3 linked regions of the Diceros bicornis minor genome follow. The protein of the gene in region 2 interacts with the protein of the main gene of each other region in a pairwise test. Links are inferred from orthologs where the notes say so. Each region holds a gene or a part of one and is shown on either strand. Other genes may lie near its edges.

What was found. The genes of interacting proteins can lie anywhere in the genome.
Region 1: the proteins of SNIP1 (region 2) and SF3B1 interact in a two-hybrid assay, tested with the Homo sapiens proteins (2 studies listed by BioGRID and IntAct). The link is inferred for Diceros bicornis minor from reciprocal best matches to the Homo sapiens genes SNIP1 and SF3B1.
Region 3: the proteins of SNIP1 (region 2) and SRPK2 interact in binary tests that used the Homo sapiens proteins (3 or more experiments, as listed by UniProt). The link is inferred for Diceros bicornis minor from reciprocal best matches to the Homo sapiens genes SNIP1 and SRPK2.

What each region holds. Positions count from the first base shown.
Region 1 is NC_080749.1:75,268,578-75,276,536, forward strand, and holds the start of SF3B1 (splicing factor 3B subunit 1), read right to left. Parts: upstream 3,189-7,959; 5' UTR 1,905-3,188; intron 1,598-1,904; coding exon of another isoform or gene 1,575-1,597; coding exon 1,518-1,574; intron 606-1,517; coding exon 435-605; intron 1-434. UniProt on the Homo sapiens protein: Component of the 17S U2 SnRNP complex of the spliceosome, a large ribonucleoprotein complex that removes introns from transcribed pre-mRNAs.
Region 2 is NC_080752.1:51,594,243-51,602,199, forward strand, and holds the start of SNIP1 (smad nuclear-interacting protein 1), read right to left. Parts: upstream 3,079-7,957; 5' UTR 3,028-3,078; coding exon 2,801-3,027; intron 1,302-2,800; coding exon 1,199-1,301; intron 1-1,198. Other genes in the region: DNALI1 (axonemal dynein light intermediate polypeptide 1), read left to right, coding at 4,187-4,267, 4,802-4,947, 6,760-6,929. UniProt on the Homo sapiens protein: Required for pre-mRNA splicing as component of the spliceosome. As a component of the minor spliceosome, involved in the splicing of U12-type introns in pre-mRNAs. Down-regulates NF-kappa-B signaling by competing with RELA for CREBBP/EP300 binding.
Region 3 is NC_080742.1:12,839,226-12,847,451, reverse strand, and holds the start of SRPK2 (SRSF protein kinase 2), read right to left. Parts: upstream 3,174-8,226; coding exon 3,144-3,173; intron 2,736-3,143; exon of another isoform or gene 2,689-2,735; coding exon of another isoform or gene 2,673-2,688; intron 2,579-2,672; coding exon 2,524-2,578; intron 1-2,523. UniProt on the Homo sapiens protein: Serine/arginine-rich protein-specific kinase which specifically phosphorylates its substrates at serine residues located in regions rich in arginine/serine dipeptides, known as RS domains and is involved in the phosphorylation of SR splicing factors and the regulation of splicing.

The DNA.
Region 1 (7,959 bases), on a different chromosome or scaffold from region 2:
TACGGACTGAACTGTCTCTCCCTCAAAAAGTCTTATGTTGAAGCCCTAACTCCCAATGTGACTATTTGGAGATTTGGCCTTTAGTGAGGTAATTAGGTTAAGTGAGGCCATAAGGTTCGGGCCCTAATCTGACAGGATTGGTGTCCTTATAAGAAAAGAGACACCAGAGTTCGCTCGCTCTCTCCATGCAAGCAGAGAGAAAAGGCCATGTGAGGAAAGAGCAAGGCGGCAACCATCTGCAAGCCAGAAAGAGGGCTCTCACCAGACACCAACTGGCATCTTGATCTTGGACTTCAAGCCTCCAGAACCATGAGAAAATAAATGTTTGTTTAAGCTGCCCAGTTTGTGCTATCTTGTATGCCAACAAGAGCTGATGAATACATTTCATGAGATAAAAACATTAAAAATAGTAGTAACAAAAATTAAGAAATTACCTCTGCTTGATCCCAACTTGATAGCTTTTTAGGAGTGGCACCAGGAGTCTGATCAGCTGTTTGATCCCAACGTCGTTTTCGTTTTGAGGGAGGCTGGGACGCTGCTGCTCCATTGACGACTTTTAGTTCCCCAGCTTTAGCTTTTTCTGCTAGCTGTTGCCTAATTTCTCTCTGAAAAATATTTGAATAAGCAGTGAATATCTTTAAAACATTTTCAATTATCTTTTTATATCATTAGGACAGTCATTTCTATTTCATGATTTCACGTCATTTTATTCTTCACTCATTCTCCTTCCTTATTTTCCCTCTCTATCGCCAGTTTTATACAATGTCCTTCTGCACAACAGATGAGCAAGTACTGAATTTATAACATAAAGCACTCTACTTTATATACAGTTAGTGAAGTAAAATCTTCAGTCAACGGTAAAGATGATTCCATTCAAAAATAAAGTTTTATTTAAAACTCATATAAATAGCAATTAAGACAATGTAGCAAGATATAAGCGATAAAAGTGACTATAACTATGCAAATAACATAGTCATAACAAATGCATATTTAATTTACCCCATGATTTTAAAATGGAGTTCCACTATCCCACTTAATCCATAAAACAAACAAATCTATTATATATTCATATTAAGTTTGGAGGCTAACTATTAAAACAAGATGGAGCAATCTCTGTAGGCCAACAGGAATTCTTCAGGAATTCTCCACCCATATCCAAACTGAATCTTATGAGAGAATTAGAGGTTTTTCAAAGAATGATTTAACTATTTCACTTTTCCCTTACACACTGGCTTCAGACACACACTATCAATCCTTCCCGGATACATCCACCATAAGATACATACGTATATAGATATATAGCCAATGGACCAGGGACTAGAAAAGGATATAGAAACATGAAAAGTGTAATTTGGGAGGTGACAGAATTTTGGGTAAGGTTCTTTCTCAACTTAATTTTTATTAAGCTGTTAAAATATTACTTGTACAGCAAATAAAAAGAAAATACAAAAGTCACTCAATCTCTACTTTCTTCACTTTCTTTCACAACCATTAAAATAAAAAGCAGGTTAACATACCTCTTCTTTAGTCAAATGCTGTTCTCGCATTACATCCATGTAAGTCCTAGCGTTCATTTTAGGATCAGGGGTCTTCCCTCCTGCAGAAAAGAACAGCAACAGGACAAGAGTACAATAAATAAAAGATAATTAGGTTCAACTGATTTATCTGCCCTGCTCTAATATTATGTTATTCCATAATCATTTAATTTATTTTTTGATGGAAAACTTTAATAATTATACATCTTACTTTTTATTGAGTTTGCTGATCAATTTAACCTGTTTGAACACAAACATATCTACAGCAGTTTAAAACAAATATTTTAATGCATATGAAAACAAAATGACAGCACAGTTTAGAGTCTTCAGAAGTGATGGGTTCCTGGGTTGCTAATCCGGAATACGTACACTTTCGTGCCTTTGTCTCCATCAGCAGTTCTGACTTCAAGCAGCAGAATAGAAGCCTAGAAAATTATCTCTTTACCATTAGTAACACTTTGGAAAGATATTTATATTCAAAACATTACCTGTTGCAAGCTGTTAAAATCCTGACTACAAATAACTATGACTAGATAAGTTCCTCATATAATGTTCTAAAACAGTTATAGTTCAGAAAATCTGATTTTTAAAAATATACCTATAATCTTATTCTGATGTCATGTTACTAAAAAGGGCTTCATGCTTTTAGAGTTTTGTTGACCCAGAAACATATTTTTATTTTCTTAGAAAGTATAAATTACAACTGGAAATATATTACTTGAAATATATTACCTCTACCAGTTATTATGATGCACACAGAAGAAAAGTGGTGTACAAAGAGATGTGTTAGTCTCTTGGTTAAAGTTTCAGTATTTGTTTTTCAAACTTCAAAATATCTTAAAGAAGCCCAAACAGTATACAACAAGATTCACAGAGGCACACTAGTTTTAGAAATGTGATAATTAGCTATACAAAGTAGTATAGCATCATAATTTAGGAAAAAATAATAAAATTCTAAGACATTTCCTATGCTGAAGATCATGCCTAATTGATAGTGTCATTCTTTCTGACACTAGCTCTGATAAGACTTCCTTTGGAATACTTTTTCACCATAATCTAGAGAGGATGTGTTGAACTGCACCCTTAAGAATGCAGACAGGACTGGCATATAGCAGTACTGCTGTAGGAAAGAAATTAAGGACAGTTAGTATGGGCCTGTGAATTCTGACATACATGTTTAAATCAATTACAATTATGCAAGTAAAAAAAAGAATATCCCTACTAATTCATGCAGGCTGAAAGTCTAATTTGTAAACCTGCAGCAGAATCTAATTTTAAGAAACAGGCACCTAATTTTGATTTTGAAACTCACTCACCTGAGGAAAGCTTCCATCAGGCTCACTATGCCCCTAAAATTAGCAAAACAGACTCCAACTATTAAAAATATCAAAGTCTTTGTACACATATTTTTGTTTTAACTTTATGCTTAAAGCAAAGTAGGTGCGTTTACTAAACTATATTTAGAGCAACATGGATGGAGCTCTAATGTGAGAAACAGTTTCTCAAAAGTAACAATCCTAAAAATCTAGGATTTGGAATGAAAACTTTCAATAATTTGAAAGTATTTTGAGCAGAAAAACACATTTGTTCAAAGTATAGAAAGCGTACCCAAAACAAAAGTAAAAGAAAAACCTTTAACCCTTTGCGTTTCTATGGCATTGGCTCATTATTTTCTTGTCCTTCTACCTGGAAAGAAAACTTGCATTATAAAGAGGAAGAATATGGCATCTGTGACTTCAACCAAATCTATACAAATCTATAAGGGGGATTTTAAAAAAGAAAAGCAAATTCATAGGCATGCCAAAAAAAATCAAAGGGCTAAAGACAACTTAATACAAATAAATTTCCGAATACTTATAGAAAAGTGGGAAAGAATTACCATCTGCAAAAGGATCAAGACGCTCTGGGGAAATTATCATGGTCCGCCTGTGCTTTTTGTATTCATCTTCACGATCTGCAATCTTCGGAGGTCGGTGCTCGGCAAATGGATCATACTGAAAAGAGTTATATCTCACTTAATACCCACTTTACTAAATAACCAAACAGAGTACCACAAACAAAAATCAGAACATTATAAAACACGTAAAAATGTTTAATAAATGCCTACCTACTAAAAAAAAAATATTCTGTATCATTTTATGGATAAACGTTAATATGAGAAAATAAGGGATACGTAAATGAGACAATACACATGTCCACATTTCCATAGTTTCTTTATGAAATGATTACCTTTATAAAATAAACTATTATTTCTAATTCTCCCAAATTAACTCTCATCAAAACATTCTAACAACTTGATTCCTAAAATATGTGAGCTTCCATGAGAATTGAGACATTGTTTTCTTTAGCTGAATAAACTCTGAATTTAATAATAATTTTTAAAAAAGAGTCACCTGTTCTGTTGACTGTGGGATATCATTAAGCAATGCCACAGGGGCATGATACCCTGGCTTCTTCTGACCAAGCAAACTTGTAGATGAAGAGTAGTCATCGTCATCCTGCAATGAAATGCCCCCAAAAGCCACAAACAAAATGTCAGAACTTAAAAATGATAAAGAATACATAAAGATTCAACATGAAATCAAAAGACTTACTGACAGTGTGATTGATGTCTAAACCCTTCTTCCTAAAACTTATAAATACTTTGGTTTTCTTTTCAACTCAAAAGGCTATTAAAGAAATGAAATTCAGTTCTCTTCACTCTTTTAAAAATATTAAACAAGGCATGCTTTCTGTGGAAGTCAGTTAAAGTCGGTATGGACTAGAAAAATCTGAGCATTTTGTTTTCTCACAGAAGGCATGATGAAATTTGTTTTCCAAATTTGTAAACTACAAATAGACTATTTAGAGCTCTCTAGTTTCCTTGTTTTTTTAACATGATTTAACCACAGAAACAAGTAAAATATAATTAATTTTAAATATATTTGTTTCCCTAGTAGTATGTTCAAACACAACAATGTTAGTGTTACTTTACTACTATAAGAAGTTCAACAGTGGGTAACTCTCAAGAAGATCTTAACACCTCATTTATTTTATTTAAAAACGAAATAATTTTCCCCTCAGTTTCTGGAACATATAGCCATCACTGTCTCATACGAATAAGGTATGATAATGCAAATAGAAGCCTGATTGGCTTCTAGAAATTCTACCTTTGGGACTTAATTTTGCTTTAAAAAAAAAAAATGCCAACTATAAAATAAAATGTGGCTTGAATTTCATAAAAATAACATGTTTGATAATCTATATACATAAAATGTTTGTTACTGAACCACACAAAAATGGATAGCTATTTCACCAAATTTGTATGTTTGGGATGGTCTGACAAAATATAAGCTATGTGGAACACATAAAAAACACTTTGAGGGGTGTGTTTCAAAACGAGAGGTGATCATCCTCCAGAGTAACTAAAACAGGCACAAAAAGCCATTCATGTCGGTAACAAGAAACATTCCATTCACACAAGATGCCAAGGGGAAAAAAAAAACAGCATCAAGCACAAGTCAGAAATCAAAAGTCCTAAGGACAGATGACTTACAATGAAGTCACTTCTCACATGGGCAACTCTAGATAGAGCTCAGTAGGTGACAACAGGGATTTACTTTACAATAGTTAATGATTTGCAGGTGCTTTACTAGATAAACTAGCTTTAACATAAAGATTCAGAACTGAGCACTTCCACAAGTTTCTGAACTTTAGAGAGGAAGGACACCTTCAACAGCTTTATCCTTCAAAAGAAAGATCTCCCAATCTCCAAAATGTCTCCCCAGATTAAACCAGATGACTCAAACAGAAAATTCCTTTATATTTCTTGCTCTCCATCAAAAAAAACGCTTGACTCTTGGATACTTTGTAACTTACATCTTCAAGTTCAGTTGCAGCAATTGATGTCACATATCCAGCAAATCTGCTGTCACTTCCACCATAAATTTCCTGGTCATAATAACCTGTAGAATCAAGGCCCACTCCCTGAGCTTCATCAAGAGCTGCCTTCTTGCCTTGAATTTCTCGAATCTGTGCTTCAATATCTGTAAGAAAGTTAATATAGACCTTCTGAACTTCATTTTCCAAAGAGCACTCAACACAATGCATTTCTCTCCCAGGTATTATCAAAATACTCTTCTAAATACAGCAATTTCAAAATAATTATACCATACAACAGATTAGTAGAACTATACCAAGTACTGATTTTTAATAACATCTCCACCTCAACAGACAATACTCATGTACCGAAAAGACACTTACTATTTCATCAACTGCAAATTACTCTTACTTTAAGAATGGGTTACCAAAGTTTATTAAATTATTGTTGAATTCTAAACTTTTCCTCAACTGAAACAATAATACTGTCAATGTTGATTAGGGACCAACAACAACACTCAAGATTATTTTAACTCAACACTACTAGAAATGTGAAAACAACAGTACTATGGAGAGTGGTTATCAAACTTGAATGTGCAACAAATCGTCTACGGATTTTGTTAAAATGCAGTAAGCCTGTGCCTACTGTCACCACTCTTATTCAACATAGTACTGGAGGTTTTGGCCAGAGCAATTAGGCAAGAAAAAGGAATAAAAGGAATCCAAATAGGCAACGAAGAAGTGAAACTCTCACTATTTGCAGACGACATGATTTTATATATAGAAAACCCTAAAGAATCCATTGTAAAACTATTAGAAATAACCGAAAACTAGAACAAAGTCGCAGGGTACAAAATCAATCTACAAAAATCAGTTGCATTTCTGTATGCTAATAACGAACTAACAGAAAGAGAGCTCAAAAAGATAATACCATTTACAATTGCATCAAAAAGAATAAAATATCTAGGAATAAATCTTACCAAGGAGGTGAAAGACCTATACAATGAAAACTACAAGACATTATTGAAAGAAATCAACGATGACATAAAGAAATGGAAAGACATCCCATGCACATGGATTGGAAGAATAAACATAGTTAAAATGTCTATATTACCTAAAGCAATCTATAGATTCAATACAATCCCAATCAGAATCCCAATGACATTCTTAAGGGAAATAGAAAAATGAATACTAAAATTCATATAGGGCAACAAAAGACCCCGAATAGCTAAAGCAATCCTAAGAAAAAAGAACAAAACTGGAGGGATCACAATCTCTGACTTCAAAACATACTACAAAGAAATAGTAACCAAAACAGCATGGTACTGGTACAAAAACAGACACACAGATCAATGGAACAGAAATGAAAGCCCAGAAATAAAACCACACATATACGGACAACTAATTTTCGACAAAGAAGCTAAGAACATACAATGGAGAAAGGAAAGTCTCCTCAATAAATGGTGTTGGGAAAAGTGAACAGCCACATGCACAAGAATGAAAGTGGACCATCTGCTATCGCCATTCACAAAAATTAACTCAAAATTGATCAAAGACCTGAAGGTGAGACCTGAAACTATAAAACTCATAGACGAAAATATAGGCAACACACTATATGACACTGGTCATAAAGGAATCTTTTCAGATGCCATGCCTACTCAGACTAGGGAAACTAAAGAAAATGCAGTAAGCCTGGATCAAACCCAAGTTCCTGCATTCCTAACAAGCTCCCAGGTAATGTCCTAAACACCTAGGACTACACTCTGAATAGTAAAACAATAAAGTATAAAGTCTAAATTCTTAAGCGTGGAATTCAGAGTCCTACACAATTTGGCTGCAACCACCATCACATTAGTTTTATGATTAAGAGTCTAAGCTCTGGAATCAGAATGTCTGCCTTCAAATAAAGGCCCTTTCTCTACTAATTAATGTTTTTAAACCCATGTGTCTCAGTTTCCTACATCATAAAGTTTTTTTAAGGATTAAATGAGACAATGAACATGAAACACTTCAGCACTCGATGAATGAATGAACTGCCATCTCTCACTCCCCAAAGCACTATGTTCTACTAACATTCTGGAGATGCAGATTTGGTGAATGACATATGAACTCCTCTCAACTGCTTCCCAAACTTCCCTCCAATTTTTAACTTTGAATTTTTTCAAGATTAAAAAAAAGTAAAATATTACAATGAACACCCACATACTCTTCACCTATATTCATCAACTGTTTATGTACATAATAGATAAAGCAAATGTGTATACATATCAGTTTTCTAAATCATTTAAAATCCCTAATATCTCAGCATGTTATTTCCAGATCTAGGGCATTCTGCTATATAACCACAGGAATACTAACACGCTCAGAAATTAAACCTTAATACAATAGCATCTAATATATTATCCAGCTTCAAATCTCCCCAATTGTCCTAGTAACATCCTGTATAGGTGTTCCCTTCTTTGATCTGTGATCCAATCAAGAACCAGGCATTGCATTTAGTTGTCACGTCTCTTTAGTCTCCTTCAAATACAGACTAGTCTTCCAACTTTCTTTTAGTGTTTCTTAA
Region 2 (7,957 bases):
TACAGCCACTGTTATAGACTGAAATTGTGTCCCCCCAAAATTCATATGTTGACGTCCCAACCCCCACACCTCAGAATATAACCATTTTTTTGGAGATAAGATCTTTAAAGGATTAAGTTAAAATGAAAGTGAGGTCCTAATCCAATACGACTGGTGTCCTTATGAGAAAAGGAAGAGACACCAGGGATATTAGCACACAGGGGAAACACCATGGGGGGGCACAGCCGAGAAGGTAGCCATTTGCAAGCCAAGGAGAAAGGCCTCAGAAGAAACCAAATCTGCTGACACCTTGATCTTCGACTTCAAGTCTCCAGAACTGTGAGAGAATAAGTTTCTGTTGTTTAAGCCTTCCGATCTGTGGTATTTTGTTATGGGAGCCCTAGCAAACTAACACAGACACTCTGGAAAACAATTTGGCAAGTTCTTAAAAAAAATTAAACATGCAACTACCATATGATCCAGCAACTGCACTCCTAGGCATTTATCCCAGAGAAATGAAAACTTAAGTTCACACAAAAACCTGCACACCAATGTTTATACAGCAGCCATATGTGTAATAGCCAAAAACTAGAAACAACCAAGGTGTTCTTTAATGGGCAAATGGTTAAATCCATACCATTGAATACCACTCAGCAATAAAAAAGAATGAACTACTGATAGATGCAACAGCCTGAACAAATCTCCAAAGAATTTTACTGAGTAAAAAAAGCCAGTCCCTAAAGATTACATACTGTATGATTCCATTTATATAACATTCTTGAGCAACAGAATTATGGAAATGGAGAAGAGATAAAAAGGTGCCAGGAGTTGAGGGGTATGGGTGGGAGGGAAGAGGGTATGACTACAAAGGACAACATGAGAGATGCTTGTGGTGATGGAAATGTTCTGTACCTCGACTGTATTGATGTCAATACTCTGGTGCGATATTGTACTATAATTCTGTAAGACGTTACCTTTGGGAGAAACAGGATGAAGAGTATACCTCTGTATTATTTCTCACAACTGCTTGTGAATCAACAACTATCTCAAAATAAAAAGTTCAGTTTAAAAAAGCAAGCAGAAAAAAAAACCAAAAACAAAACCAGTTTTTAGCAAAGCCCACGGCAGGTACAGGTGAACACATACACAACACTCTCCAGCTAGGATGGGAAGAGGCTCTAGATTTGCACCTAGTGTCAAAACATTTCAATCCACTTACCTGCTTCACTTTGACTGTTGAGTGGTGAGGACTTCGGCTTCTCTTACTCCTAGGAGACTTGCTTCTTCTCCCTGAGGACTTGTTTTTCTTTTTGGCTGGGGACCTTTTCAGAGCATGGGACACACAGGATTTTATCTCGATTTCCCTTCCTCCACACAAATTAGCTGCAACTATCAGGCTCACCTACTAACACAAACACATTTGTGAAGGTCTCTGCCGATCACACAAAGGAGCCAGGAGCTTCTGTTTCCTAGTCCTAACGTCTCCCTTGAGTCCTGGACCCACATATGTAACTGCCTACTGAATATTCTCACTTACATAACATAACTCTTGATTCCCAACCCCTCAAAAACCTTTCCTTGGAGCAGGCCCGTGGCCTAGTGGTTAAGTTCGGCGTACTCCGCTTCAGTGGCCCACGTTTGGTTCCTGGGCACGGACCTACACCACTAGTCATCGGCCATGGTGTGGTGGCGTCCCACATACAAAACAGAGGAAGACTGGCACAGATGTTAGCTCAGGGCAAATCTTCCTCAGCAAAAAAAAAAAAAAAAAAAAAAAAAAAAATTTCCTCTCTGTCTTTCCTCTCTGCCATCTCTGTAACTGGCACCACCATCCACCCTCTTCCTCAAGCCAAAAACCTAGAAGTCACCCTTGATTTTCTTTTTCCTCACCACCAACAGCCACTCCCTACTCTTCCCCCACAATCACATTCAACCCATCAGCTCCGGCTCCATCTCCTCCCTCTCCCACCTCATTCCTACCACTCTTCTTGATCACTACACTGGGGTTTGCTGTTTTTTTTTCCCCCCTATTTCTAGAACAATTACAATTCATCCTACTTCAGGTTCTTTGCACATGTTGTTTCCTCTGCCTACATCTTTACATGGCTGGATTATTATCATTCAGGTCTCAGCTCAAATGGCACCTATTCGGAGGGGCCTTCTCCCACTTCCCTCCAATCTCTCACTATCACATGACTGTTTTAACCTATCCCTAACACGTGTCATTAACTGAAACTATTTTATTTGCTTGTTATTTTGTCTCAGGGCTAGAGCACATCAAATTTCGCGAGGGTAAAGGCCACCTACCTTGTTCACCCTTACAGCCCCAGTCTTGAGCACATAACAGGTACTCGGTAAAACTATGTTGAATGAATGAATAAATGAGCCAATCCAGTAGAAAACAATTTTCTTTTTCCAGAATTTCTATCAGGGAGATCGCCTAGGCCCTCGATGTGTAAACCTTTCCGGGCAGATGACTGAAAAGACAACGCCCGCACTCCATTTGCAGTCACATGGGGAAAATCTTTCATTTCAACTTAAATGGTCAGTCCTACCTGCTGGGCCATACTCCGCGAAATGCTGCGCACTCAGAGATGAAGGGGCGGACCCTGCTCGTTAGATTAGCCGCTTAACGCCCAGCTATAACGCAAGTGACAGGTACCGGAGTAAACATTTAACCCAAGCACTAGCGGGTCACTTCCACCGCCTTAGGATGAAGTCCAAGCTGCTGCCCTCGCTTCAAGGTGTGCTTCTGACGCTAGCCCTGTCCTCCCTTCTCAGAGCCCGACGTAAGGTCCACCCCGGGCTGCTTCCCACTTACCGGCTACCTCCTCGGGCTCGGTTCCCGCGGTGACCCGGGCGGCCTGGCTCGCCGGCCGGCGGGGACGGGCTCCCGCCGGCGGAGTCCGGACGGCGGTGGGCGGGGGGCGCTGCTTCCGGGCTGAGTCGCTCTTGCTTCACCACCACGGCCGCCGCCGCCGCCACCATGTCCCCGTCCCGGTGCCGTCGCCGGCTCCCCCGCTCCCGCTCGCTCTTCACCTCCTTCATGCTGAGAGACCCGCTGAGCGAAGCGAAAATACGTCCGTTGTGCTCCTCTCGCTGAAGGAAATGACGGGCTTTACACCCCCCCCCGCACTTCCGCTTCCGGGGTGCGCGCTCTCCCAGAAACCCTCGCGGCGGAGGGGCTAGACACGTGACCACGACTCCGTAGTCGGCGGGGCCGTAGGGACCCGGTTCAGGTGGCGGGAGTTTTGAGTTTCAAAAGCAAACTTCTGCGAAAAAGCTACTCTCAAGGCTGTTTGTTGTCGCGTTATTAGTAATTACTAAACACGGAGACAACCGAAATGCCCAGCGGTGGGAAATTGTTTAGCCGATTGATGGATGTATGTCGCCATTCGCAGTGCTATTTACAAACTGTATGACAAATGGAAAAAACCCTGGTTTGTTAAACGAAAGAAGCAGGATACAAAATTGTGGCTATGTTTACGTTTGAAAAGAGAAAGAAAGGAGAAGAGAAGGAAATGCAATCATAGGTGATAGCCTGTGGGCAAATCATTAGTATTTCCCCTCTATTCTTGAACTTTCTTTTATGTTGTCATTTCTCCATTTAATTAAAAAATACTTTTTATTTTATTTATTTATTTTTTGGTGTGAGAAAGATTTGCTCTGAGCTAACATCTGTGCCAATCTTCCTCTATTTTGTATGTGGGGCACTGCCACAACATGGCTAAGGAGTGGTGTAGGTCGTGCTGCGGGTTCCGGGCTCTGGGATCCGAGCCACTGAAGTGCAGCCCGCCAGCCAAGGGGCCGGCCCCCACAAATACTTTTTAAAACCGGGGAACTCCAGAGGCCCTCCTCTGGGAATCTTTCTCAATCCTTCACTGAGGAGTCAGATGACTCCCATTTTGCAGGTGACAAAATCGGGGGTCAGCGAAGGTGATCTGCCACCTTATTCGAATTGTGAGCTAGACGCAGCGCAGGGACTCGAATCCGTTTTCTCTGCTTCCAAGAGTACCGATGCGACCCGGCGAGCAGGAGGCCTGACAAGCGAAGCACGGGAAAAGCTGGGCAGAAACTCCCGCGCCGCTGGCCCCGCCCCACCCCGAAGCCCCGCCCAGGCCATGAGGCTAGGAGAGGTTTCCATGGTGATGGCAAACAGGGCCATGATTCGAGGGGCCGCCGCTGGGCTACTACCTTCGCCGCCGCCATGATTCCCCCCGCGGACTCTCTGCTCAAGTATGACACCCCGGTGTTGGTGAGCCGGAACACGGAGAAACGGAGTCCCAAAGTAAGGACGGGTCTCAGGGGGCGGAGGAGCCCGAAGCTCCAATGAGAAGAGAGACCCCGCGTTGAGGATAGGGAGTCCCGAGGGACAGAGGCTGGGAGTAAAGGGACTTGGAACGGGGGAAGGAGTGTGGGAGAGCGTTACAAGAAGGCCAGATGTTGGGTAACCCCAGAGGGCAGATTTAGAATGGGGAAGGAAGTCACAGGGAGATGAATGGGGCTTACTCTTTTTCATGGTAGCTGGGTCCAAAATAGATCTGGTAGTGATTTCACACCCATCACTAGAGGTGTGAAAGCAGAGGCTTGAGCACCCGTGCCAGAAACATCACTTCAAGGAGATACAAGCATTGGGTTGGGGTAGGACCAGAGGCTATGGCCCCCTTCAGCTCTGAGATGTAACTTCTGCTGAGAAGACAGGTGGGGAAAGTGAGCTGGGAATAGGGGACGATGTGCAGGAGACCTGGAGCAATCCAGAAGGCCAGGATGTGTGGAGCTGAGTGTCTGTCACCTCCTGCCCTAACTTGTCCCTTCTTCTCAGGCTCGGCCACTGAAAGTCAGCCCCCAGCAGCCTGGACCCTCAGGTCCAGTCCCGCAGCCACCAAAAACCAAGGTCCCCTCAACTTCCTGTGTCCCAGATCCTACAAAGCAGGCTGAAGAAATCTTGAATGCCATCCTGCCCCCAAGGTAAAAAAGTAGGAGCAGTGTCTGGGAGAAGGCCCAGGCTTTTGCATCCTAGAACTTGGGAATGTGGGAGGAGGCAGTCTGTCTCTGTTCCTGGCTGGGATTTCCTCCCAGCATCCCAGAGCTCCTAGAGCTTGCAGATGGCTGGATGCTGAGAGGGTGGGAGGAGACCTCTTCTCTATCCATCCTCATCTCCTGAGGGCTCGCGCCCAGGCTCATGGCTTTAGATCCCATCTATACGCTGATGGCTCCCAAATGTGCATTTCCAGCTCTGTCCTATCCCCTAAACTCCAGCCCCATATGTTCTACTGCTTCCTCATTATCTTCATGAGGATGTCTAATAGATATCTCAACTCAGCATGTCCACACTAAATCACAATTTCTTCCTCCTCCAACCTGCTCGTCCCCAGGCTTCTCCTTTCTACTAGGCGCTCAGGCCACCTTCCATTCCTTTTGGTCCCTCATGTCACATGTCCTATCCTTCATCAAATTCTTTTGGCTCCACCTTAAAATTATATTCCAAATCCAGCCACTTTTCACCACCTCTGCTTCCACCATCTTGTTCCTGTCACTATTTGTCACCTGCAGTACTGCAATGGCCTCCTATCTGAAAACCCTGCTTCTACTCTTTGCCCCTGTAATTTAATCTGCACACTGCCCTGAAATCATAAGTCAGATCATGCCAGTCTTCTGCTAGAAACTCTTTAATGGCTTCCCATTTCGCTCAGGCTAAAATCCAAAGTCCTTACAGTGGCCTGGAAGAGCTGGCGTGATCTGGCTCCTGATAGACCCAGGATCTTATCTCCTGGTATTCTCCTCCTTGTTCACTGTGCTAATGCCGCAGAGGCCTCTGCTTGCTGTTTCTGAAACACTTCCATCGCTCTTCCACCGCAGGACCTTGGCACTTGCTGTTCTCACTGCCAATGACACTCTTCCTCTGATATCTGCCTGGTTCTCTTCTTCACTCAGGTCTTGCTCAAATGTCGTTTCCTTAAGGAGGCCTTCCTTGAGCATCCTTGTAAAAGAGCGCCTTCTTTCTTCACCATCCCCTTACCTGGCTTCTCTCTTCTACAGCCACATTTATCACTATGTGGCATGCCTTTTTGACTATTTTTATGTAATAAGTTGATAGCACAGTTTTTAAGGCTATGATGGAAAGGAGAAACAGTAAAAGAGAGACTGCGATTTCCTCCGAGAAGGGGGTCAAAGAGGGGAGTGGGTGATTTTTCAATTGACGCCCTCCTACCAATGCCTGGAAATTCTCTCCCCCATGGCGGTTCTATCCTCAGGCTCCTTCCTTGTAATTCTGGAACCTGGCCATGCCTCTGATACAAGGTTCATCGTGGGGAGGCCCACATAGGCACACACCTTCAAGAACCTCCCCTCTCCCCAGTACACACATTTGCCTCTTTCTGGCTGGCACAAGATTTGTGGTGCCCTGTGTCTCCCACCCGACAAGTCAGTGGAGAATTCCCACTGGGCCTTCTGTTGAGATCAACAACGACCATAAGTCTGTCCTCAACATGTAAAGAGGGTAAGATTTGGAACGTGGGTGATGATTTCATGGAGGGCTGTGGGAGAGTGGAGATGGCCCAGCTCCAAGGTAGAGGCTTTGTGGAGGCAGCATAGTGAGGGTGGCCTTGAAACCACACACTCCCCAAGGAAGAGAGAAGGATGGAAGATTCTGGTGGGTCGAGGACAGAGCTGTCCCTCACACCTCTCAGGCAGAGAGCTCAAAGGGCCTTCTCTGCTCATGTCTCGAGGACCCTCTCTGGTCAATGGGTTTTGCTCAGGCTGGCTGTGTCTGTGCCGCAGGGAGTGGGTAGAAGACACGCAGCTATGGATCCAGCAGGTGTCCAGCACCCCCAGCACCAGGATGGATGTGGTGCACCTGCAGGAACAGCTGGACCTGAAGCTGCAGCAGCGGCAGGCCAGGGAGACCGGCATCTGCCCTGTCCGCCGGGAGCTCTACTTGCAGTGTTTCGGTGAGTGGCTGGGGGCGGGGTACGGGACACCTGCCTCCTTCCCTTCCTCTTCAGCACAGACCCAAGCCCTGAGTATCCCCGAGCTACAGCCTATCCCATCCTGGAATCATCTGGTCCCTCCCACCCAGGGACCGCTACATGCGCCCCCTCCCCGTCCAGCCCCACCTCTCCTACCTGTCCCCCACCTACCAGTCCCCCACTTGACAACCTGGTTCTTCATCCCGCAGCAGTTGTTTGGAGTAAGATGAGAACTTCCATTTTAAATCTTCGTTTTTTTCCAAGACTTCTATAATAAGCATGTGTTAATTTTTTGATTAGAAAAATTAATGTTCTATACTTATATCCATCTATCAACATTTGGCCCTTGGTCCAGAAAAATATTTCAGGGTAATGTGTTGTTAACCGACGGATACAAAGGATTTAAGATTTCCCTCCACAAGTGCTGGTGTCGAATGTCTCTGTCCCTCGCCCACTTTCACCGGCCGGTGTGGACTCTGACATGCAAACCACCTCCAAACCCTGAGGCAGCTGCAGAGTCTAGCAGCTCCCTTTAGTCGGCGTATGATTATGGTTGGCCCTCCAGGTCAGCCTTGATGGAGGAGACGGGTGGGCGAGCTCTAGACCCCGCTGTTGCCAGCCCCAACCCAGTCCAGCCAAGGGGATTTCCCAGCCACTTTAAAACAGCCACCATCTTCAAATTGAAAAAGGCAGCTTTCTTTGAATAGTACCCAGTTTCTGGCTGAGGATGGAAGAGAGGGGCCCCATGGCTGCAAACAAACCTAGGGCTCCTGTCTCCCTCTGCCCTGGCCACAAGGGGCTTGTTGACTGCCTGTGCTCCCAAGAGCCAAGTTCAGAGTGGTGGCTGCATGGCAGGGCTCCTGGGGCCACTCAAGGCCACTCCCTGAGGCCTGACTCCAAGTGAGGAGGACACACCCTAGAGCCCTTCCCAGTGGGAAGTGTGGTTTGCAGCAGACGTGGTGCATTTCTGCTCCCGCCTGTCTTCTCTGACCTCGCTGTGTGTGTGCACT
Region 3 (8,226 bases), on a different chromosome or scaffold from region 2:
TCTCCTCCTCCTCACTCTAGCTTCTCTTCAAACGTCACCTCTTCAGAGAGTTGAGTGTGGAATTTGGTCCCAGACTGCTTAGATTCAACTTAACAGCTGGGCATGTTACACATGCTGCAGCCCCGGTTTCTCATCTGTAAGATGGTAATAACAACAGTGCCTACCTCACAGGGCTGTCACAAGGGATAAACACACATAAAACAGTCAACACAGTGACTGGCACAGTGTTCAAATGTCATCTGTCACTATTACTTAAGGCGCCCCATCTTAATGTTCTCCCTATCCCTTAGCGCTATCTGAAGCTGTCATCTTTACTTCTCATCCTTTTTGGGGTCCCCCCAGCCCCCCAGAACGTAAGCTTCATGAGGAGCTCTGTCTGCCTTGTTCAAAGCTCTGTCAGTCTCCTAGGAAAGGCATGCAAAAAGCCTGTGGAATATATGAATAAATATATCACATCAGGCATCCCTTTAAAATAATGTCTTGATTCAAAAAATTAAGTGAAAAATGACATTGCCTCAATCAAACAGTTATGTAATTGGGCTGGTCTCCCCTTACTAATTACCTTGCTGACCAACCAGGTCATTCAGTCCTTGGTTGGGGGGGTTTCCCTCCAATCTTATTACATAAATACAACAAACAATGGAAGAAACTGATAGATTAATCCGTGAGGCAAACGTTAATGTGGCTATATGCTAATTCTTTATAAACATACCACATACATGCAAACTGCGACACAACAAAAAAGGCTCTTGGCCATTAGGAAAGTCATACCTTGAAATATGAAACACACACTGACCTACTCAACTAAAACTGTTTTTCTACATGTATGCATATATATACATAATATACACACATATAGATTTTATATATATATGTGTATACACACACACATACACACAGCCATCCCCAAAACTGGGGACATGCTTTTTTCACCTCCTTTTTATGTTTCTGAACATAATGGGCTATGCGGAAATAAATGCTTTGAAATGAAAGTTGTGATTAAAACCCAATACTCCGGATCCTAAACATTACAGTTCTCCCCACTTATAGGCTAAACTTCTGTCATTCACCAAAGGAAATCCCAAATTTAAGGTTCTGATTGACTTGAGAGCTAGCACTAATTTTTTAAGGCATCTAAAACTACCAAATATCCATTCTGTTTTAACGTCTTAAGAATCCAATATCCAATTTTTACCCACCAGTTCCTCAAGTCCTTAATAAGTACTTTTCCCTCACTCTAATAGTTTCTTTCTTAAGAAAGGCATCATTATGTCGATATCCACGTTTTGTGAAATCCTAAAAATACTTTCAAGTTATATTCCGTTTTGAATGAACAAAAATCCTGTCATGCTATACCACCACGTTAGCAATGACTTAGGCAGTTTGCACAGATGCTACCAACGGGTATGAAATTCGCTAGGCAGAGATCAAGGCGAACAGGAAGGGAAAAAGCCTAGGAATGCTGCAGGGTAGTCCTCTAAAGGAAACAAGAAATGCTTCGGGATTTTATTTAAAGATGATCATGGACTATCATTCCCCAAAGTACCAAAAATACCTTGCCTGTATTTCTTGCTCAAAAGGAAAAGCGAAGCCACACATCTAGAAGGAGTAAAGATGTTGAACGCTGGCGGATTTTCTTAAATTAGGAATGAAAGAAGGAAAAGGAGAGAGGCCGCGGCGCTGCGGTCTCGGAGCAGTTCTCCAGGAAAGGCTTCTCGGGCGCCGGCCGCTCCCCCTCCGGTCCGCAGCCATGCTGGAGGTGGCTGGCGACTGGCACGTTTTAAATATCACCACCCCATCCATCAACTCCCCAGCACAATGCGGGCTGGGAAGCCGCGCGGGGCCGCCCGCGCACACGCCCACCGGCCCCACCAGCCCGCAACCCGGCGCGGCCGCCGCGCAGCCAAGTCACGCTCGGCCCGAGCAGAAAGTTTCGAATAAAAACCCGAGCGCCGACACGCACGGGTCTCGGAGCTGAACTCGCGCCAGGAACACGCCCGAGGCAAACCACTTGACAACCAGCTCGGGTTTTCGGCAGAAAGGCCGAGAGGCGGGGGCCGGGGAGGAAGAGGAGGCGACACACACACACACTCACACTCTCTTACGTACGCGGCTCCTCTTCCTCTGGGGCCCGCGCGCCCAGGTGGGAGCCACGCAGCAGCCTCGCGCCCGCACACGGCGCGCCGGGCGCCAGCGCCCCTCCTGGGAAGGTGCCGACCCCGGGCCGGCTCGGCGCGCCGGGGAGGGTGCGCACGCCCGGCGCCTCCCCGCCCGCCCGCCCGCCCTCGACGGCCGCAGCGGCGACTGGGGGCCGGGGGCCGGGGATGCTCGGCGGGCCGGCCGCGGGCTCGCGCGCCCCTCCCCCGCCCGCCGCCCGCGGGGCGCGCAGGAGGCGAGCGCCGGCGTCCCGGGGGACCGGCCCGCCTCCGGCCCTGGGAGCGGGGCAACTTTCCCCGGCGCGACCGCGGGCTGCGCCCGACCGGCGGGGCCGGGGGCCCGGGGGCGAGCGCAGCGTGGACTCACTTTTTCGGATGTTTCTCTCTTTTCGGCCTCCGCTTTCGGGCCTGAATGGCCAGCACTGGGGAAAGAGAAGACACACATTAACGGTCGGGCCGGCCGGCCGGCCCGCGGGGCCGCGTGGCGGGCAGGAGCGAACGCCGCGGGCCACTCACCTTTCCGGGAGCTCATCCCGACGCGGCGGAGGGCGGGCGGGGGGCTTCGCGGCGGCGGCGGCGGCGGCGGCGGCGACGCGGTGCCGAGCCGAGCCGGACTGCAGCCTCCACTCGCTCCGCCGGCCGGGAGGAGGCGGGAACCGCGCCTGCGCCGCCGCCGCCGCCGCTCCCGCGGGGGGCCCGGCAAGACCCGCCTCCGCCCGGCCCCGCCCCCGCCCCGCCCCCACCCGCCCGGTGAGCTTGGGACCCCAGCGCCGGGCCCCTCCCGTGTGTCCCGCACCCGCCCGCCGGGCCCACCTGTGCGAAGCGACCCCCCGCGACCACCGCCAGTCCCGTCCCCGACCTCCCCCTCCCCAGCCCGCGGCAGGCCTCCGCCTCCAGCGCCCCCGCGGCGGGCCCAGGCCTCCCGCCTCTCCCGGGCACCCGGCCCGCGCGACCCTCCCTCGCAGCCGCGGCCTCTCCCCTACGCACTCCGGCCAGTCGCGCCGCCCGTCTCTCCATGCGCCCTTCCTTGGCCCGCGCCTCCGCGGGTCTCACACCACCTCTCTTCGCGCGGCCTTTTCTCCCCCTTTGCTCCCCTACATCCTTGCATCCCCATGAGCGCCGCTCCTCCTCTCCGGCGGGTGTGGAAAGGGCACAGGACCAAGAACTGGGAAACCTGGGTCCTTTCACTAGCTATGTGACCTTGGAGAAGTCATCTTATCTCACACGTTTACCTACCCCGCAGGACTGCTTGAGTTTAATGAAGGAAAAGATGCAAATAGCGTGGAAAGAAGGATGAAGCTTTCGCACGTGAATTAAAGCCCAGTTCAATGAATACCACGTGTATAACAATTTAACACACCACCACAACCACCAAGTAGTTATTTTCTCCATCTTACAATGAAGAAACTGAGTCCTAGAGAGGTTAAGCAGTTTACCCAGCAATGACTGAAATCTAGGCCTAACTCAGTCCAAACTCTCCACGTATCATGCTTCCTAATTAAGATGTGAATCAACTTGATAGTGGGACAAAATGATAACTGCAGTGTTCCTTTGTTTATTTAAATACTGATAATATTTTTGAAAGATATTCATCCTGACCATTTACTCTCTCTTTGGCTATACAACTCTATTCTTAACTGATCAAAGTAGCTAGTCTTATTCTAAAGATGCTAAACCCAACAGAACAGAAGGCGCTGCTTGGAATTAAAGAGCTTTTTACTTTCTCAACTTTTTATTTTCAAAAACATCAAACCTACAGAAAAGCTATGAGAAAAACATAATGAACACCCATATTAACCCATATTCACCAGTTTTTAACATTTCGCTGCATTTGCTTTCCCTGTGTTGGGGGGGGAGAGTTGTTTTTGCTGAATCATGAGTTTTTTGCAGATAGTGTTACCCTTTACCCCTAAATATTTCAGTAAGTATCTCCTGAGACAAAGATAGTCTCCTACTTAATCAGATACTGTTATCATTCCAAGGAATTTTATTAATATAATACTATTATCTGTAACATACAGAGGTCATGTTCAAATTTTCAAAATATCCCTTTTAGCTGACTTTTTCTCCAACCCAAGATACAATCAAGGACCATGCATTGCATTTAGTTGTCACATCTTTTTAAGCTCCTTTCGTATAGAATAATGCCCGGTTTTGTTTTTTCTTATAACATTGACTTTTTTGAAGAATCCAGTTCTACTGTTTTGCAGAATGTTCCTCAGTTTGTATTCATCTGTTCCCCCTTAGATTGAAGTTACATAATTTTCTCAGGTACACTATCATAGATGATGTTGTGTTGGTCTTAGTAAATTGCATCAGGAGGGCTTTGATGTCTGTTTGTTCCATTATTGGTGATGTTGCATTTAATCATTTCTCCATGGTAAAAGTACCTTTTTTTCTTTGTATTTAAAAAGTAATCTGTGTAAAAAATGGGCAAAGGACATCAACTGATGAATGGATAAAGATGTGGTGTATATATACGATGGAATACTACTCAGCCATAAAAATGACACAATCATGGGGCCAGCCCAGTGGCATAGTGGTTAAGTTTGCACACTCCGCTTCGGCAACCTGGGGTTAGCAGGTTCAGATCCTGGGCACAGACTTATGCACCACTCATCAAGCCATGCTGTGGCAGCATCTCATATACGAAATAGAGGAAGATTGGCACAGATCTTAGCTCGGGGCTAATCTTCCTCAGCAAAAAGAGGAACATCAGCAACAGATGTTAGCTCAGGGCCGATCTTCCTCACCAAAAAAAAAAAAGACGCCATCATCACATTTGCAACAACATGGATGGACCTTGAGGGTATTATGTTAAGCAAAATAAGCCAGACGGAGAAAGACAAACACCACATGATTTCAGTCATATGTGGAAGATAAAGTAACACATGGACAAAGAAGGCAAATCAGTGCTTACCAGAGGGGAAGGGAGATGGGGGGTGGGTGAAAGGGGTAAAGGGGCGCATACGTATGGTGAAAGATAAAAATTAGAGTATTGGTAGTGAGCACAATGCAGTCTATACAGAAACTGATAAATGATAATGTACACTTGAAATTACACAATGTTATAAACCATTATGACCGCAATAAAATAATTAAAAAAAAAAAGTTTGTCATGTCTGTAGCTGTTACACTGTGAACAGCACAGAACCTCGAGGAACATTCTTCCAGTGTTGGAAAACTATCATCCAATTCAGCCAACAAGGTCACTCGATATCCTTGGCGGATGAGTTAAGATTCAACATGTGCTTCACTCTTGTCCTTTCATCTCACTCTTGAGTGTAAATGAAAACATCAACCAACATTTATGTCGGAACTATACTCAAGAGTCGGTGACATGAAGGACTTCTTGTGGAATCAGATAGTAATCAAGCATTTGTTCATGGTCTGATTTTCTCAAATCCTGGATGAATTGTAACCACAGGTTGGCTACAGATGTAACGGTTGGCAAAAATCAAAGAAAGCATTCTAGGGGGCTGGCCCAGTGGCATAGTGGTTATGTTCACTGCTCTCTGCTTTGTCGGCCGGGTTCACGGGTTCAGATCCTGGGCTTAGACCTACACCTCTCACCAAGCCATTGCTGTCGTGGCAATCCACATACAAAATAGAGAAAGATGGGCACAGGTGTTAGCTCAGGCCACTCTTCCTCAAGCAAAAAGAGGAAGGTTGGCAACAGGTGTTGCCTGTTAGCTCGGGGCCAATCTTCCTCGACAAAAGGAAAAAAAAACATTCTAGAGAACAATTGGTGCTGTAGAATTTACAATAAAAAGGATTGTATATTTTAGTATGATTTGTAAATTGTGTGCTATTTTACGGTTTTATACAGATAAAATGTATAATATACTTATGTACGTAAAAAAAAAAAAATGGGCAAAGGACTTGAATAGACATTTCTCCAAAGAAGAGAAACAAAGATGCTCATCATCACTGGAGAAATGCAAAGCAACATCACAATGAGATACCACTTCACACCTACTAGGATGACTACAATTTTTTTTAATGGAAACTAAGTGATGGCAAGGATGTAGAGACATTGGAATCCTCGTACATTGCTGGTGAGAATGTAAAAGGATGCAATCACTGTGGAAAACAGTTCCACAGTTCTGCAAAAAGCTAAATATAGGATTATTAGCAATTCTACTCTTAAGTATATATTCAGAAGAATTGAAAACAGGTACTCAAACAAATCCTTGTGTGCAACCGTTCATAGCAGCACTGATCACAGTAGCCAAAAGGTTAGAAACAACCCAAATATCCATCAACACATGAATGGATAAATTGTGGTATAGACATACAATGAAATATTTTTCAGCCATAAAAAGGACTAAAGAACTGATACATGCTACAACGTGGATGAACCTCAAAAACAGTCTGCCGAGTGAAAGAAGCTAGACACAAAAGGTCATATATTGTACCACTCCATTTACATGAAACATCAGGAACAAGCAAATCTGCAGAAAGCAGATTGGTGGTAGCCAGTGGCTTGGGGGAGGGGAAACGCGGAGCAACTGCATCATGGGTCCGGGGTTTTATTTTGTACTGAGAAAATGTTTTGGAGCTAGATAGAGGTGGTGGTGGCACAACATTGTAAATGTAGTAAATGCCACTGAATTGTTCATTCTAAAATGATTAACTTTATGTTATGTGAATTTCACCATGATTTTGTTTTATGGTTCTGTGGGGTAATATTTTGAGACCATGTGAGTATCCTTCCCCAAGAATCTTCACTCTATGGGTTAGCACCCATTGATGATGCTTGCCTGAATCAATTGTTACTATAGTGGTTGTAGAATAATAATATTATAATCCTAACATTCCATCTGTTCCATCTATGTTAATTAGGTGACATTCTTATGTAAAGAAGAGCTTTCATTTCTCCTGCCACCCCTTTGTTCTCTGTTTGTTTTTGGCTTGTTTTTTGTTTTTATTTTTGGTTTCAATATTGACAGTAATTACTGTCACTTTGATTTTTGATTCTTGAATTGCCCCATACTTGACCAGGGAAGACACTTTCAACTTTTAGTGTCCTTCGGACACATCCCAATCAGTTTTTGAGCACCTCTTCACTTTCTGGCACAAGATGTTCCAGGAAACTTTGTGCTTTCCCTAACTGGGTCTCAGAACCAGCCATTTTGCTGGTCTTGACTCCTTCTAGAAGGTGATTAAAAGCTTTGAAGCCAAAGAAATCCGATTTTAAAACCAGTTTCTTTTATTATTTTTAATAGCTTTACTGAGATATAATTCACATACCATACAATCAACACATTTAAAGTACAAAAGGCAATGTTTTTTAGGATTGTTGTGCAACCACCACAACAATCTAATTTTAAAACATTTTGTCACCCATAAAAGAACCTCCATAACCATTAGCAGTCACTCCCCATTTCCCCCAACCTCCCCTTGCTCAAGGCCTAGGCAACCACTAATCTCCTGTCTCTATAGCCCTGCCTATTCTGGACAGATCATATAAATGCAATCATATACTATGTGGCCTTTTGTGACTGGCTTCTTTCACTTAGCTTAATGTTGAAACCCATTTCTGCCTCTTAATTTCTGCATAACCTTGGGCAAGTTACTTAATTACAACATCTGGGAAACGGTAATAATATTAATACCAATCCTGCTAGATCAATGTGATAATCAAATAAGGAAAGTAAATATTCAATAAATGGTAATTACCATTAACATTAGTTGGGAAATCACACCCCATCTCTTTGCGTCCATTTGTTCAACAAATATTTCTCAAACACCTGCTATGCAGCTGGCATTATTCAAGGTATTGAGTCTACAGCAGTGAACAAAGCACACAAGACTCTCCCTGCCCTCGTGGGACATTCTACTGCCAGAAGACAGAAAATAAACAAAGTAAATATGTGAAATATATATTATATTTACTGGATGGCAATAGTGTCTATGACAAGAAGAATCAAAACAAAACAGCAACCTGTTGGGAACGTGTTTAGAAAAGGCCTCACTGAAAAGGGAACACTTAGTTAAAGACCTCAAGGTGATCTTACCAGTCTTTTTACTTCTATAAACCAGGAGAGAACTATATTTGCTACCTAGA